4 linked regions of the Oryctolagus cuniculus genome follow. The protein of the gene in region 4 binds, or shares a complex with, the protein of the main gene of each other region. Links are inferred from orthologs where the notes say so. Each region holds a gene or a part of one and is shown on either strand. Other genes may lie near its edges.

Region 1 (3,562 bases), on a different chromosome or scaffold from region 4:
TACAATATCACTGAAGATAATGAATACACATGAAAAAGTGGTTTATAATAGAAATAATCTTATTTTGAAAATTTAAGGGCAATAAAAACATTTACATGCTCAAACACTTTTTAAAAATTAAATTGTTTTCAAAATGTATACAAACTTAATATTTATTAAAAATTATTTTAAAGTGATCATTGTAATACCTTTAAAGTATTAAGGAGGCTGGTGTTGTAGTGCAGTGTGTTAAATAGTCTCATCTTCAACACCAGCATCCCACGTCAGAGTGCTGGTTCAAGTCCTGATTACTCTGCTTACAATCCAGCTTTATGTTAATACACCTGGAAAGGCAGAAGATACTGCCCAAGTACTTGGGCCCCTGCCACCCACGTGGGTAACCAGGATGGAGTTCCTGGATTCTGGCTTTGGCCTGGTCCAGACCTCACTATTGGTACCATTTGGGGAATGAATGGGCAGATAGAAGATCTCTCCCCCAACTCCCACCCCCGTTGCTATGTCTTTAAAAAAAGATTTTTTGAAAAAAGTTTTATGGCATCCTCTTAACTTTGCCTCATGTCAAAGTGAGCCTTTATAACTCTAATTCTTAAGCAGTAGATTCAAGTTCAATATTTATCAAAGTTAGTTAATCTCCCTAGATGCAATAGTCTGGGTAGCTTGTGAATTTTTTAAATTAAAAAATTAGATTCATGCTTATTTATTTGAGGGGCACAGAGACAACAGAGAGACCTTCCATCTGCTGGTTTATTCCCCAAATGCCCACAATGGCCCCTGGCTGGGTCTGAAGCTAGAAGCAGGAACCCAATCACAAGCCATCATTGCTGTCTTCTGGGTTTTGAATTAGCAGGAAGCTGGAGTCAGGAGTGAGCCAGGTGTCCAACCCTGGCACTCCAACATGGGCACAGGCATCTTAGCCAGCAGGACAAAAGCCATGCTGTGTTTTCTTAGTAAGTCTATAATTACGAATAGTTTTCACAATAGTATACTTACAAATACAGCATTAACAGACAAAAAACCTGCAACGAAGTAGCAAATTTGTAATATACAACTCTTCAGAATAACTCAAAGGGGGAAAAAAAATTTCATTACCTGGGCTTTTCTGGCACATCAGAAGGATTACTGCAGAATGGTTCCTGGTAAACAGTTTCTGAAAGGTCATGATCCAACAATGTTGCCACAATTTCTTCCCTACTTGGTGGGGACATAAGTGGTTTCAGAATGTGAGCAGTTCGAGGAGTGAAACTGCCATTTTTAGATTGTAAGGGAGAGCTGGTAGACCTTGGTGAACTATCAGGAGTTGGTGTCAACATATTGTTTCTTGAAACATACAATTCTAAATCTTCAGAAGCTGCATCTACAAGTTCACCATCGGGAGAGGAGAGTATTGTAGTAAAAGAGGTATTAACTGAGTCAATTGACTGTCCCATTTCTTTTCTGGTGTGACCTTGAATCCAGTCTGAATTGCTTGGCTGTGGGAGGTTAAGAAACACTTCTTTGCTTACCGAACTCCTATTCAATCTGGATTTTTCATTTAGACAGTCCTCTGCTTGCTGGACACAGAAAGAATCTATTATGGAATTGGACCGAGCTGTTAGGGGATGAAAGTTATTTTTCCACTGGCTGTGGCGAAGATTCTCATTGCTATCTATGGATGACTTTTCGAAAAGCTCAGGACTTAAAGTACCAGATCTAATCCATGAGGCTGAATCTGAAGAATGATGCTTGTTTTCATCACACTTTTGGTTATCATGACTTAAAAACTCATTTTTTTCTATAGTTTGTCCTGGAAAAAGATCCTGAACAGCATCACTTAAAAACTTCTGAGGCAAATTCTGATCAGCTGGAACAAACTGACTTCCAGAATAAAAGCTACAAAACCCTGCCTGACCAATTGTATTAATATCAAAATTATAACTATGTTCAGGAGACAAGCTATCTTCAAGTGAATAACAACTCTCAAAACCCGGATCTGAAAAAAAGACAGGACTATCATCTGAGAGGGAATTATCCAACTGGCTAGAGTTTTGTAAATTTAAAGAGTCTACTTTTAGAAGTTTGGAATTCTTCTCTTTAGGTTTTGTACTTCTGGGAGTTCGAGGTTTTCTTGGAGATGTTACTGATCGTGTCTGCTTATTTGCTTTATTGTGTTCAAAGGAACTAGAAATATTTTTGTTTGGTTGATGTTTGTTAGACAATGGATCTTGCATAATATTTGCATTTTGTGCTTTCTGCTGCCTTTTTTGTAACAGTTCTTTTAGAACTGCTAGTCCAGACTGTCCTTCGCCAAATGCTGAAGGTGTTGACACATTTTGATTTTTACACTGAGAAAGTGCTTTGGTTTGTGAAATTGCTTCTGAAAATGACCTTTGTTTTACTATTTCAGGCTTAAAATTTGTCATATCTAAAATAAAACCCCTTTGTTTCTGCTCCCATGCTATTTGTCTGATGGGACTTCTCAAGGAAGTTACAAAGCAATTATTAGGCATTTGGCTTTCCTCTGAAGTTGCATTTCCTACAGTACACGATTCACTGTGCTTGGATTGTTCTGCCATGCATACGATCTGCGGCTGACTGTCTTTGCAATGTGAAAAATTAGAAGAACATCCCTGATCCAGCTTTGATTCTAGGGAACTGCGATTTTCATTTAACTTTCCAACAGATGACAAATAGTTTTTTTGTATACTTGCATTCTCTTCTGTCTTTGGAGACATTATACCTGAAGATATCTGTGTATTCTGTGCTACCTGAGATAAATGTTTGGAAAGGTCGAATATATTTTTTTGAATCAACGTTGATTCTTTCAGAGAAAACATAGCACTCTGATTATGAGACCTTTGAGCATTAATTTTTGAGATTCCAGATCCTACAGAACTACATACAACTGATGAATGCAGATCATCTCGAGAACTGGGGAATGTTTGCATATCCACAGATTTTTTGCTTTCTAAAAAAGAAGAAAAGCAGCCAGATAACTTCTGTTGTGCATTAATTCCAGTTGGTAGAGGAACAGAAAGAGGATGCTCTATAACAGAGCCTGTGAGTGACACATCTTTCTGTTTAAAAAGTAGTTGAGAGCCTCCAGGACTGTTCGTGAGCTCAGCCACATTCTGGTGTTTCAGCACAAACTTAACTTCAGCACCAGACTGAGATTTTATTTTTTCATCCTTAAGTGTTATATGCTTTTTTGATGTACCTTTTTCATTTGTCTTTTGTTTCTGTCTTGCTCTTGGTTTCTTTTTTCCATTATCTACCAGTTTGTTTGTCTGATTTCGTTTGTTCCTTTTCTTAGTAACTATAGAGGGATTAACAAGCTTTGCCTTTGATTTCTTAGCTTGCGCTCTTGCCCGACTATTTTTTCCTATACGAGAATTAACAGTCTTACTATTGTATGCATTAGGACCCTTAAAAAGTGTTGCTTCTTTTTCTGCAGCAGCCATGATTTCTTCAGCTCTTGGGTCAGTGGGAGACCAGCAGCGAGGTGGAGAAGAATTTATGGGACTTGTGCTTCTCTCAGAAAGAAAACCTAGTTTAGACATAACATCACTATAATTCAAGTCACAGT
Region 2 (3,393 bases), on a different chromosome or scaffold from region 4:
GTCTAGGAGTCCCTGCGGGGCTGGGACAGGACTGCCAGAGAGGGGAGCCACTGCACCCTCCACGTCACACCCTGACCCGGGTCTCCTCCGCGTTACCCCGTCCCCAGCCAGCTCCCTCTGTCCCCAGCACTGTGGGTTCCCTTCCAGAGCCCCAGGTGGCCATGTCTGAGCAGGTCCTGCAAGGTAAGACCTCCCCAGCCTTGCGGTGGCTCCTGGTCGACCCTGGTGAGGGAAGCAGAGGTGCTTGGTGGGAACGTGTAGGTCCGTCTGGCCCCCGGACCCTCCTCCGGCAACATGGGGCTGGCTGGGTGGCAGTAGCGCAGGCAGGTTTTCCCTGGCTGGTCCCCGATGATGACTAGAGTAGTTCTCGTGCACCACCAGAGGGCGCCAGAGAGCGCAGAGTGCGGGCTCCGTGGTTCTGTCTGGGTGTCTCCCCTCCCGCTCAAGCGGGAGGAAAGGTGAGGCCTGGTGCTGGCTGTCTCCCACCTCGGAGCTTGCTGGGGCCTGCCAGCCAAGGCCGGGCCACGTTAAAGGAATGGAGGTCAGGATTCCAGTGTTCTTTATTGATAAGTGTGCATGAACCCCTTGCCCTGAGAACTCAGCCAGTCCTGCCCTCCGCTCCCCAGCCTGAGGTCGGGTGTGCACTCCGGCCTCCGAGGTCGCCAGCCTGCGTCCGGCTCTGCCTGGTTGAGGAAGGCATTGGAAGGGCCCTGGCCAGGTCCTCGTCCTGCGGACAGCACTTCCTGCAGGAGCTCGCCCTGGGGGTGGGGTGGGGGCTGGATGGAGGACCGGAGCCCTCCAAGCGCTCCTCCACAGTGGAGCTGAGCTACGCAGCAGCAGGTGCAGGTGGCGATGGCTCTGTCCTGAGGCTCTCGGGCGGCTGGCGGGAGTGCCAGCGGCAGCAGGGCTCAGCTGATGCCTCAGAGGGGGTAGAAGTGCCAGAGGCTGTGTAGACGGGGGATTTGCCAGAGAGAGAGAGAGACAGTCAGTGAGGCCCCTCGGTCTGATGCGGGCAGACCCTCAGTACTGCAGACAGAACCGGGGGGCCTGGGGTCACCCCTTCCCCCAGTAGCTCAGAGAGAGAATTATTAAAACATAACCCCCAAACCTGCATCCACGCCCCCTCGGTCAGGGCAGCCTCCCCATCGGGTGGTACCCAAAAGCCCCGAGCCTGTCTCTGACCTGTACTGGAAGCGGGGGTCTCCTGGGTGGGCCTTCAGCAGCTGGAGCACCTCTGGTGGCGGCTCCAAGCCCATCTGCTCTGCCCGGTGCCAGCGCTGCAGACGGGTGATCCCTGAGGGGCAGGCAGGAGACCCGGGCCTCATGGGGCGCAGGAAGAGTCCGGCACACCCAGATAATGCGCGCCGAGGCGCCGCGTCCTGAGACCCCAGGGCCGGGCGCAGGCGCCCGAGAGGCAGGCGAGGCAGGCGGGGAGACAGGGCGGCGCTCACCTGTGCAGGGCCCGTACTGCCAGGCCAGGTCAAACTGCCGCAGCAGCTCCAGCACGGCTTCCTCCCCGCCGGGGGGCCGGGGCTCCTCCCCTGCAATGACACTGCTCCTCAGGCGGGTGCCCGCAGCCCTCCTCAGCGGCTCTCTGCCTCTGCCACCCGGCGGCCAGCCCTGTCAGCCGGAAGGAGAGGACGTGCTACGCTTCCCCTTCCATCTGCCCCCGCCCACGTCCTCTCCGGCCCCTGCTGTCCACTCCTCCGACCTCCCCCGCGCTTCAGAGACCTAGCTCTCGTGCCAGCTCCCCCTTGCAGTGCCCGGCAGGCCCCTCCCCCCGCTTCACAACAGGGTAGGAGTCAGTGATGAGCTGCTTCCGGCCCATGGTGGCCACCCAGGCAGGCGGAGAAGGTGACCGCGGGGACGAAGAGACAGGCCAGCGGGCGCGAGAGAGACAGCTGCTAGGGGAGAGCGCGAGAGAGTCGTGGCCAGAGAGCGAGATGGGGCCAGCGACGGGCAGACGAGATGACCCAGACAAGCCCGAGAGGAAGTCGCCTGGTTCCAGGGGATGACGCCTGCCCCCCGCCCCCACAAACACGCAAATAGCAAAGACCGAAGCCAATGGCAGGCCGCCGCTGTGGGGCGGGGCCCGGGCCCCAGCCAATGGCGCGCGGCGCAGGGCGAGGGGCGGGGCAGCTGCTGCAGCTGTGCTCTGGGGGAGGAGGGGTTCGGGAGGGGTGGGGACCTGTCAAGATGCCCCAGACTTCACCACCTCCTCCCGCCCCCCATTGGTCTCCGTGGGTCCCCGGGGACGCACGGAGCGTTATCCTGGGCCTCTCACTTCCCGTTTTGCCTTCCTAGGCAAATGTTCTTTTCAGCCTCACTAATCCCCGTGTCGGGTTTGTAACTCCCCAGAGCCCATCTGGAACCTTCCTCTCCGGGGCCTTGGACCCGAGCGTTGTGGGGGCAGGTCTGGAGGTCCGAAGAGAGTTTGGGCTAATCCAGCCCCCTGCCCTGCTCCCACCCGCCCCAGGAGCGCTGGTGGGGGCCTTGGGCTCTGACAGCTCCTTTCTCACAGCCTGTGCCCAGACACTGCCCACACTGCTGGTGGAGGCCGCGCGTGGCCCTGTCGGCTCTCCTGGGGTCCGAAGCCTGCCTCTGCTCACCCTAGTGGTCAGGAAGGTCCCCTGGGTAGCCTGAGGCCAGAGCTGGGGTCTCTCACGGGGCCTCTGGGTCCCCAGTTCTTCCCAGCCAGACCTGCACCGTCTTGCAGCATCGTGCCTGGGAGCAGAAAACGCTCACAGCGCAGCGTGCGCTGTGTTGCAGGGACCGCTCTAACCATCCCCACAGCAACTCCGTTTAAGCAGATGGCAAGGGTTTTTGAAAGTAGGCAGTATGGATAAATTATTATCCCTGCCGATAGACTGGCATTGCGGGGACCCCTGTTGGACCACAGCCCCTCCCTGCGCCCCAGGTCCCCAGGGCAGAGGGGGTGCCGTTGGAAGACGGAGGACAGGCGTGGGGTGGGTCCACAGTGCAGTTGGTGTCAGGAGGCCTCCTGGAGGAGGTAGGCTCTGGTACACAGTGGCTCTCAATCCCCCACCCGTGACCTTTGTCCCCTGGGCTCCTGTCACTGCTGACTCACCCCTACTCCCGCCTCCCCCTCACCAATTTCCTGGCAGCAGGCAAAGTGCTGGCCAGTGGGAGGCTGGGAACCAGCACAGAGACAGCCCGGCCCTGATCACCCTCGAGCCGGGGCGCCCATCCGGTCCTTCCCTCCAGGGCTGTGAGGGTTGGCGCCTGCTGGGGGCCTCTGCTGGCCTCTTTCCCAGTGCGCGGGCCCGGTGCTCCGGGTCAGGAAGCGGGCTGGGCCCCGGTACACACAGAGACCCAGGAGGAGAGTGCTTCCCAGAGGGGAAGCAGAGGACTAGCCTGTCTTCCGGGGCCGCC
Region 3 (4,032 bases), on a different chromosome or scaffold from region 4:
TAGGCAGAGAGAAAGGTACAGGTTCTTGTGGTGAGAATGACTTCACATAACTGAAGGAAAGCAAAGCAAATATGGCTAGAGTATCACAATTGAGACAGAGAGTGGTATAGGTAAAGTTGGGTACACAGGTAGGAATTAGTGTGCTAATGCTATAAAAATTACAAGTAATTGGGGTACCTCCACTAAAATTGCATACATCTTTATTTCATTTTCAGAGAATCCAGTCATTATTCATCCTTAAACCCCAACAGGTTAACAGGTGCTTCATCTCTTATTTAAATACCCATAATGGTAACAGACAATAACTCTTATAGGTATCCACTGACAAAGTTAACTGAAGCTCTTGGGTTTGGGCCAGAACTAGTCTTACGCAATTTTAGTCAAAATCAATCCAAATCCATCCCTATATAAGAGTTTCTGGGTTTTGAAAGCTTTAACATCACACCCCAAATTAGACTCCTAGATGTGCTTAACCCAATAAAACCAAATCAACCCATTCTAGAAGTCAGGGATTTTCTGAGACTTGTGGGAAGTTCTCATGACTCTAGGTTTCTATGACTCCAGAAGAAACTTCAGACCACCCTTAGGAATCAAACAAACAAAATGAGAATTTAACCCAATATATGTATCCTCAGCCAGTTCACTAATTCCTCCCCTGGGTCACAGACATCATCCACATCTTGGAAGTGAATTCAAAAGCTCACCTTTTCTTTTGGGCTCGGGTTAGATCCCAAATTTAGGCAAGGAAAGGTGACATGGCACTAAATTGAAGAAAGGCAAGGCCATACACCATCCTAAACACTCCCTTTCCAGTTTCACTTAAATCGCTCACCCTGTCACACAGCTTGCGTCGAACACCTGTTGACCTCATTATGAAGTACTCCAGTAACATCTGGAGATGGGTCTAAGGCCCACATATGAGAATGTGGTGAAGACGTAAGATAACAGACATATAAATTTTAGATGCAAAAAGAACTAATTCATTTAAGAAATTTGAAATAACAAACATGTTCACAGCAGGCCAAGGATGCAAATGAATCCAGCAAATTGATCACACCACACCTTTGTTATCAAGTCTACCAGTCTCCTAAAAGAGACAAAAATATGAGGTAGTAAAATAAGTGTTTTTTTCCATTTACTCAGGAAAAAAAAAGAAAATTAGTTCTATCCTAGGAGCTATCTAAAGAGCAAAACAAGAAACAAACAAAACAAAACCCTCCTCTATGTGATTAAAATTGGTAGTAAATTGGACTTACTGTTTGGCCTGGTTAACATGAACCCCTAGTGTATAGCTCAGCCATTTGTACGTCACCTGCAAGAAGAAGCAATTTTCAAGAATGTTTTATGAAATGCCCCCAGAGCCTAGATCAGTAATCTTAAGTGAGTGTGATTGTGCCTTATCAATTGCAATCAATACCACCACAGTTTTGTCAAGAACTACCTGGGCTGGCAGAATAAAGATATCTACTTTACAAACACTAACAAAAAGTTTGTGTTTTTTTCCCCCCAGACTGCTTCATACAAAGACAGTCCGAATACACGTAAAGAAAGAGCTCTCCTTTTCCTCTTGCTCCTTGTTTCACTTAGGCCTTTCTTTAGATTCTGCCTTTGTGGGGGAACCACCGGCCTAAACTACCTGAAAACTCACCTAGGAGCTAAATGATTTCCCAAGCGTATGATGCAGAAATCGCTCAGGAAAGCTGCAGCCACAGGGACGAGCACTAGGGGCACAGGCGGTGCAGGGGTCGGGATGAAGACCGCAGCGGGTCAGATGGGAACCACTGACACCAAGCGTGCAGCCCTCCTCCACCCCGTCCGCCTGTCACTCTCTCGCTAAAGCTCGCTACAGGCCGAGCTGCCATAATCAAAAGACCTGGGCAGGTCAGGCACAGGCCGGGGCGAGCTCGAAGGACTCGTGGAAGAGCCAGGCCTAGGTTCGAAGACGGCGCCGCCCTCTCTAAGAGCGACCGAACTCGTTCTTTGGCCTCGGGGTTCCCCGAAGGAATACGACTCCCTGCCTGGGGCGGGGGTGGGGGTGGGGAGGGCCGAGGCAAAGATGACGGGCAACAGCGCGTAGCCACAGAGCCCCGGCACCCAGCGGGCGCTCACTACCACGCCTCGCAAGGCGCATTCGCCTCCCTCCCCTCCGATCAGGACACCAACCCCGCCAGGCGGGTCACGCCCCCGTCAATACTCCAATTTCCAGGAAGAGGAAACCCGAGGTCAGACCGTCCCTCAACACGGCTGAGGCACACTTTCCTCAGAGGCAAACCTGGGGCTTGAAACGCCACCCGCCGGGTCAAGCCGGCGTAGGGACGCCTTAGACAGACCCTCAACCCCCGCGGCCTCTCCCCGGGGCAGCCCCCAACACGCCTACCCGAGGAACGCCCGCTGCCGCGCGCGCCATTAGACCTCCCCGGCGAGTCCTCGCTCGCCCCGGGAGCACGCGGTGACGGGGACCTGTCCCCCCTCTCGGCCAGTCCCCCACGAGACCACAAGCACGAGGGTCCAGGCCCCCACCGCCCTGGCTCGGCCCAGGACCCCAGTCGCACGCCTGCTCCCCCAGGCCCTCGCTCCTCACAATCTTGTTCTGGTCCGTGACGAACTCGTCTATATTTTCCAGATACAGCTGGTCCGCCATGGTGCCACAGCAATCGGCCCCGCCGGCTCGGGGTACCCCCTCTCAGTCACAGCGGCAGCTCCCGCCGGCGGGAAACGTCTTTACTCCCTCCCAGGTCCCGGGTCGTTTCCCACGGCAACCGAAGCGACGCGCTACGGCGGCCGCCCAGGGGTCAAACTAGTCACGGAGACGGCGCAGGGTGAAGTGGGTGGAGCCAGTAAGAGCCATTGGTTGGGGCGGGTTTGTGTGTGGTGTGTGTGGAGAGGAGGTGTCGGGTTTCACCCCGCCGCTGAGTGACCGCACCTGTAGGAGCCACAGCCTTTTCATCTGTGAATTGATAAAAGAATCCTTGCCTCGCGATATTTTATTCAGTAAATATTTGGAACCTATTCAGGCAGGCCACAGTTTTGGACGATAAAGATAAAAGTTGAGTAGGGCCGGCTGGAATACAATACTTGCCTGTTATAATGCACAGTTAAAGAATTAGAAGTTCTTCAAAGCAGGTAAAGGAGGCGGGGCGTTTCTGAGAGAGGCGGGAGCGGCTGCCGGGAAGAGAAAGCTCCAGATAGCGGGAATAGCGGGAATGTGGGGGAGAAGGAGCCAGGGAGAGAGGAGATCTGACGAGGCCACAGCACTCCATGCCTTAGGAGGCTGTGTGTAGGGTTGCATGCACGTCCTTCTCAGTTAAAGAGGACAAGGAGAATTTTCAGGTTGGGGAATTGCGTGAGAATTTCTCATAGTATCACCAAAAATTTAGGATAAGCCAAGGTCCCCAGCATAGTGAATAAGCAATCAAGCTCTAGAGGACTCCAGATTTGAATCTGGATTTCTTTTTAAATTTTTATTTTTTATTTGAAAGGCAGAATCGGGGCGGGGATTGGGGGAGGTTTTCCATCCACTGGTTCACTCCCAAGTGGTTGCAACAGCCAGGGCTGGGCGAGGCCGAAGCCAGAAGCTAGGAGCCATAAACTTCTTCCAGGTCCCTCACATGGGTCACTTCACTTGGGCCATCTTCATCATCTTCCACCGCTGTACCCAGCCACCTTAGCAGGGAGATGGATCCATAGTGGAGCAGTCAGGACTTGAAGCCATGCCCATGTGGGATTCGGGCACTGCAAGCGGCAGCTTTACTGACTATGCCACAGCCCTGGCCCCTTGAGTCTGATTTTTTATGTACTGAGTTTTATAAGTTGTTTAACCACTCAGAATCTGGTTCCTTATCTGTAAGATGGCAAAAGCCTACCAAGGGCCAGGAACGGTTCAGGGTAGTGAGGGTACAGCTGCAGTCATTAAGACATGGAGGCCGTTCTCATTACATCACACTCTCCTGGAGATATTTAAGTCCCAGTCTCCCATGGTCTCCCAGCTGCCTTCCCTTAGCTTAAAGTTTCCTTGCCCAGCTTTTATGATCG
Region 4 (4,042 bases):
CAATGACTAATCAGCAACTGACCACTGTGAGAAGTGCAAGGCTGAGCAGAAAACACGGGGAGGCCCCAGAGAGTCACGGTGACGGTGATAGAAGGACAGGAAACCGAGGTGAGGAGACAAGACTCCGGGGAGGGCATGGGCCAGGGCAGGCTGACCCTGGAGAGGGCGCAGGCCAGGGCAGACCAACCCCAGGGCAGGCCAGGGGCAGACAGACGCCAGAGAGGGCGCAGGCCAGGGGCAGACAGACCCCCGGGAGGGCACAGGCCAGGGGCAGACAGACCCCAAGGAGGGTACAGGCCAGGGGCAGACAGACCCCCGGGAGGGCACAGGCCAAAGGGAGACCAACCCTGGAGAGGGTGCAGGCCAGGGGCAGACTGACCCCAGGGAGGGCAAAGGCCAGGGAGGGCACGGGCCAGGGGCAGAGTGACCCCGGGGAGGGCACAGGCCAGGGCAGACTGACCCCTGAGAGGGTGCAGGCCAGGGGCAGACAGACCCCAAGGAAGGCACAGGCCAGGGCAGACTGACCCCTGAAAGAGGGCGCGGGCCAGGGCAGACTGACCCCAGGGAGGGCACAGGCCAGGGCAGACCGACCCCAGAGAGGGGGCGGACCAGGGCAGACTGACCCCAGGGAGGGCACAGGCCAGGGCAGACCGACCCCAGAGAGGGGGCGGACCAGGGCAGACTGACCCCAGGGAGGGCACAGGCCAGGGCAGACCGACCCCAGAGAGGGGGCGGGCCAGGGCAGACTGACCCCAGGGAGGGCACAGGCCAGGGCAGACCGACCCCAGAGAGGGCGCGGGCCAGGGCAGACTGACCCCAGGGAGGGCACAGGCCAGGGCAGACCGACCCCAGAGAGGGGGCGGACCAGGGCAGACTGACCCCAGGGAGGGCACAGGCCAGGGCAGACCGACCCCAGAGAGGGCGTGGGTCAGGGCAGACTGACCCCAGGGAGGGCACAGGCCAGGGCAGACCGACTCCAGGGAGGGCACAGGCCAGGGCAGACCAACCCCGGAGAGGGCACAGGCCAGGGCAGACCGACCACAGAGAGGGCACAGGCCAGGCCAGGGCAGACGGACCCCAGAGAGGGCGCGGGCCAGGGGCAGACTGACCCCGGGGTGGGCCAGGGGGAGATACTGTGTTGGGGGAGACTGACCCCAGGGAGGGCGCGGGCCAGGGGCAGACTGACCCTGGGGCAGGCTGGCCCAAGACCCACCCGGCCTGGGTAAGACACGGTCTCATGATGACCGTCTCGGAGATGCATCAGGAACAGCGGCCGTGTGCCAGTCCCACAGCTGGGGTAACGGGGCACCACCAGAGTCGGGAGTGAGAGGCCGGGTCCTGTCTCACCCCCAGGGCATCGAGGGGTAGGAGAGCCCACCGGGGAAGAGACGGGGACGAGAAAACAGCTTGCACAGCCCGGGTCTTTATTTGGAAAGACAGAATGCTGAGGGTCAGGGGAGTCACGGCCGCTGGGCGGCAGGAAGCAGAAACGGAGGGGCCCCGCCGCCGGTGGCTCCGGTGCCAGGCCAGCCGCGCTCGGGCATGGGCGAACGGTGGAGTGCCCTGCACCTAAACCATTCCCCCCACCGCAACAACGGCTCTCAGTGCTCCACCCTGACCTGGGAGCAGCCTCTGGCCTCCACCTCACACCACAGGTCTTACACCAGTCCTGGTTACGTGAGGACGCCGCGAGGGACGGGCTAGCGTTCCCAGGTAACTCACAAATGGGACCGATCGGGGAAACCTGGAGCCGCGCGCGCCCACACTCACCCCAGCGCTGCCGGGCCCGGCTCACCAGGAAGGGTCTCATCTGGCTGAGGCGCGTGGCGTAAATGTGCGCGTACTGCCGGTTGAAGTTGCGCTCGCCCAGGCGGAAAGGCTGCGACGCGTTGGTGTAGGTGGCCACGGGCACCCGGGCGAAGGTGGCGTTGTTGGCGGACGGAGGGGACAGCAGCGTGTGGGCACGCTGGGCGGCCTGCTCGGAAAACATGGCTGCGTCCCGGCCGAGGAGGGGTCCTGTGGGCACACAAAGGCATCCCTGCCACCCTCGCCCGGTGCCAAACGCGGCTGCCCGCACCGCCTCCGGGGGCCAGACCGGACAGTCCCGGCAGGGAGCAAGGGAGCCTCTCCCACCGGAGTGCGGCTGAACCCCGGACCCGAGTGACCCCTGCCGGCTTCACACCCCCAGGCCGCCTGCCAGGCTCGCGAACGGAATCCCTGACCCGCGCCTCCCCAGCCCCCTGCACCTGCCCCAGCCCAGGGCGCGAGCCCACCCCAGAAGCACGCGCTATTGCTAAATAACCACCATCGCCACGGTGACACACACCGGCCACGGGCCGCGCCGAGCGCCCAGGCCTCACCACGGCCCGTGCCACGCGCTCCCCGCCTCCGGATCCTCTCGCTGCACCTGCGCCCGCGCCCGCGCGCGCTCGCCCCGGTCCGCGCTCGCGGGCACCTCCCGCTGCCCACCCCGAACCACACCTCGGCCCTCTGGCTCGGCACGCACCTCCCAGCAACCCGCACGGACACCTGGCGCCCGCGGAGCGCCACAGGCCGACTCCCCGGAGCGAGCAGCGCCTCTGGACACCGGCTACTCACCGCCTGGGCGCGGCTCCGCGACGGGTCAGGGCCCCGCGGCCCGCTGGACAGCGCGGGGCCGGGACGCGGGCTTTCCAGGAGCGACCCCCGAGCACCCGCGGCCGGCCCCCGAGAGCAGCGCTGCGCGGCAGCGGCGGGACGTCCCCGACTCTCGAGCTCGCACCCGCGGCCCGCCAAGACACCGCTTCACCGGAAAACCCTCACCAAGCGGCGCGCCGCATCCCGCCGACCCCCGCGCGCCCGCCCCGCCCATCGCCGTAGCCAGCCAATCGCCGCCAGCCCCGCCCCATTCATTGCCTCACTCCGCCAATCGCCATCCAGCGCTCCCCGTCCGCGGCCGCATCTCACCAATCGGTCTCCGCCCGGGTCGGCCCCACAGCGCCCGCTGCATCCCGCCGGCCCCCGCGCTTCTCACTCACCGCGCCGCGCGGAGCCACGCCCCCGGTTTCCCAGGCGACGGGAGGCGGGGCCGGGACGGACAGGCCCATGCTCGTCCGTGCGCATGCGCGTGCCCGGAACCCAGGAGGCTGGGTCCGCGCGGGTGGCCTGCACCGTGCAGGGTGGGCACTGCCCGGGTTCCCCGCAGGCTGGTCCTGCTGGCCAAGCGCTTGATTTCCGGCTGTCTCTGCAGAACGGTGACCTGAGCCCAAGTGAGGGTAACGTGGACCTGGAAGAGGGCGGTTGCTCTGTAGGGCGGGCAGCGAGTTGGGCGAGAGGCGTGGCGGGTCCTTGCCTTCCCGCTCCTCCCGCCAGGCCCGGCCCCAGACACGGTGGACTCTTGTCGTGTCCTTGTGGTGGCTGACTTAGGTGCCAGCCTGGCTCGCTTAAGGAGTGCGCAGAGGCCTTGCGTTGCGGGGGTCTGTGAGGGTGTTTGCAGAGGGGCTGTCTTGCGATGCCCAGTGGACGGCCAGGCGGGGCAGGCCGAGAGGAAATAAACACGAGACGGGTTGATCTCTCTCCTTCTACCCCAGCAGGCCCGAGACACGCGCTGGGCGTCGGAACTGCAGCCGCGCTGACCCTGGGCTCCAGCACGGTCCGCGCTCCCCTGGCCGTCAGCCGTGGGCTAAGAGTGACGCCGTTACCTTCCGGGCTCGGAGGCCTTCAGACTGGGAGCCACGCTGCCGGCGCCCCACGTTGCAGTGGACCTGTGCCACGTGAGCCACGCCGCCCGCCGCTGACCGCTCTCCTGTCAGATACCTTATACATTTCCCGCGGGGTCTTGCTCGCTCGCGCTCTCTCTCTCTCTCTCTCTCCCCGGAACTGCAGCACCGACTTGGGTCTCAGGAGTGGTTCCGAATTCTAAGATGGGTTTCCTTCATTGGCTTTGGGGCTTCTGGAATTGGCTGTGTAATATGGTTAGACCTAAAGACGCAAAGGATTCTCCTTCCGACGGTGCGGACAGCACCTGCAATCCGTGGCGGGAGCTATTCTTAGAGATGTGCAG

The links.
Region 1: POLD2 (region 4) and REV3L share a complex: the UniProt entries of both Homo sapiens proteins name them as parts of the tetrameric Pol-zeta complex. The link is inferred for Oryctolagus cuniculus from reciprocal best matches to the Homo sapiens genes POLD2 and REV3L.
Region 2: POLD2 (region 4) and POLD4 share a complex: the UniProt entries of both Homo sapiens proteins name them as parts of the tetrameric DNA polymerase delta complex. The link is inferred for Oryctolagus cuniculus from reciprocal best matches to the Homo sapiens genes POLD2 and POLD4.
Region 3: POLD2 (region 4) and POLD3 share a complex: the UniProt entries of both Homo sapiens proteins name them as parts of the both the DNA polymerase delta and DNA polymerase zeta complex. The link is inferred for Oryctolagus cuniculus from reciprocal best matches to the Homo sapiens genes POLD2 and POLD3.

What each region holds. Positions count from the first base shown.
Region 1 is NC_091436.1:60,221,827-60,225,388, reverse strand, and holds part of REV3L (DNA polymerase zeta catalytic subunit), read right to left. Parts: coding exon 1,090-3,562; intron 1-1,089. UniProt on the Homo sapiens protein: Catalytic subunit of the DNA polymerase zeta complex, an error-prone polymerase specialized in translesion DNA synthesis (TLS). Lacks an intrinsic 3'-5' exonuclease activity and thus has no proofreading function.
Region 2 is NC_091432.1:4,680,001-4,683,393, reverse strand, and holds POLD4 (DNA polymerase delta subunit 4), read right to left. Parts: upstream 2,046-3,393; 5' UTR 1,829-2,045; coding exon 1,732-1,828; intron 1,542-1,731; coding exon 1,452-1,541; intron 1,295-1,451; coding exon 1,183-1,294; intron 946-1,182; coding exon 921-945; 3' UTR 543-920; downstream 1-542. UniProt on the Homo sapiens protein: As a component of the tetrameric DNA polymerase delta complex (Pol-delta4), plays a role in high fidelity genome replication and repair.
Region 3 is NC_091432.1:65,786,932-65,790,963, reverse strand, and holds the start of POLD3 (DNA polymerase delta subunit 3), read right to left. Parts: upstream 2,815-4,032; 5' UTR 2,642-2,814; coding exon 2,582-2,641; intron 2,172-2,581; exon of another isoform or gene 1,649-2,171; intron 1,313-1,648; coding exon 1,257-1,312; intron 1-1,256. UniProt on the Homo sapiens protein: Accessory component of both the DNA polymerase delta complex and the DNA polymerase zeta complex.
Region 4 is NC_091447.1:51,601,039-51,605,080, forward strand, and holds the start of POLD2 (DNA polymerase delta subunit 2), read right to left. Parts: upstream 2,833-4,042; 5' UTR 2,507-2,832; intron 2,203-2,506; exon of another isoform or gene 2,134-2,202; intron 2,017-2,133; 5' UTR 1,991-2,016; coding exon 1,771-1,990; intron 1-1,770. Other genes in the region: Friend virus susceptibility protein 1, read left to right, coding at 3,903-4,042. UniProt on the Homo sapiens protein: Accessory component of both the DNA polymerase delta complex and the DNA polymerase zeta complex.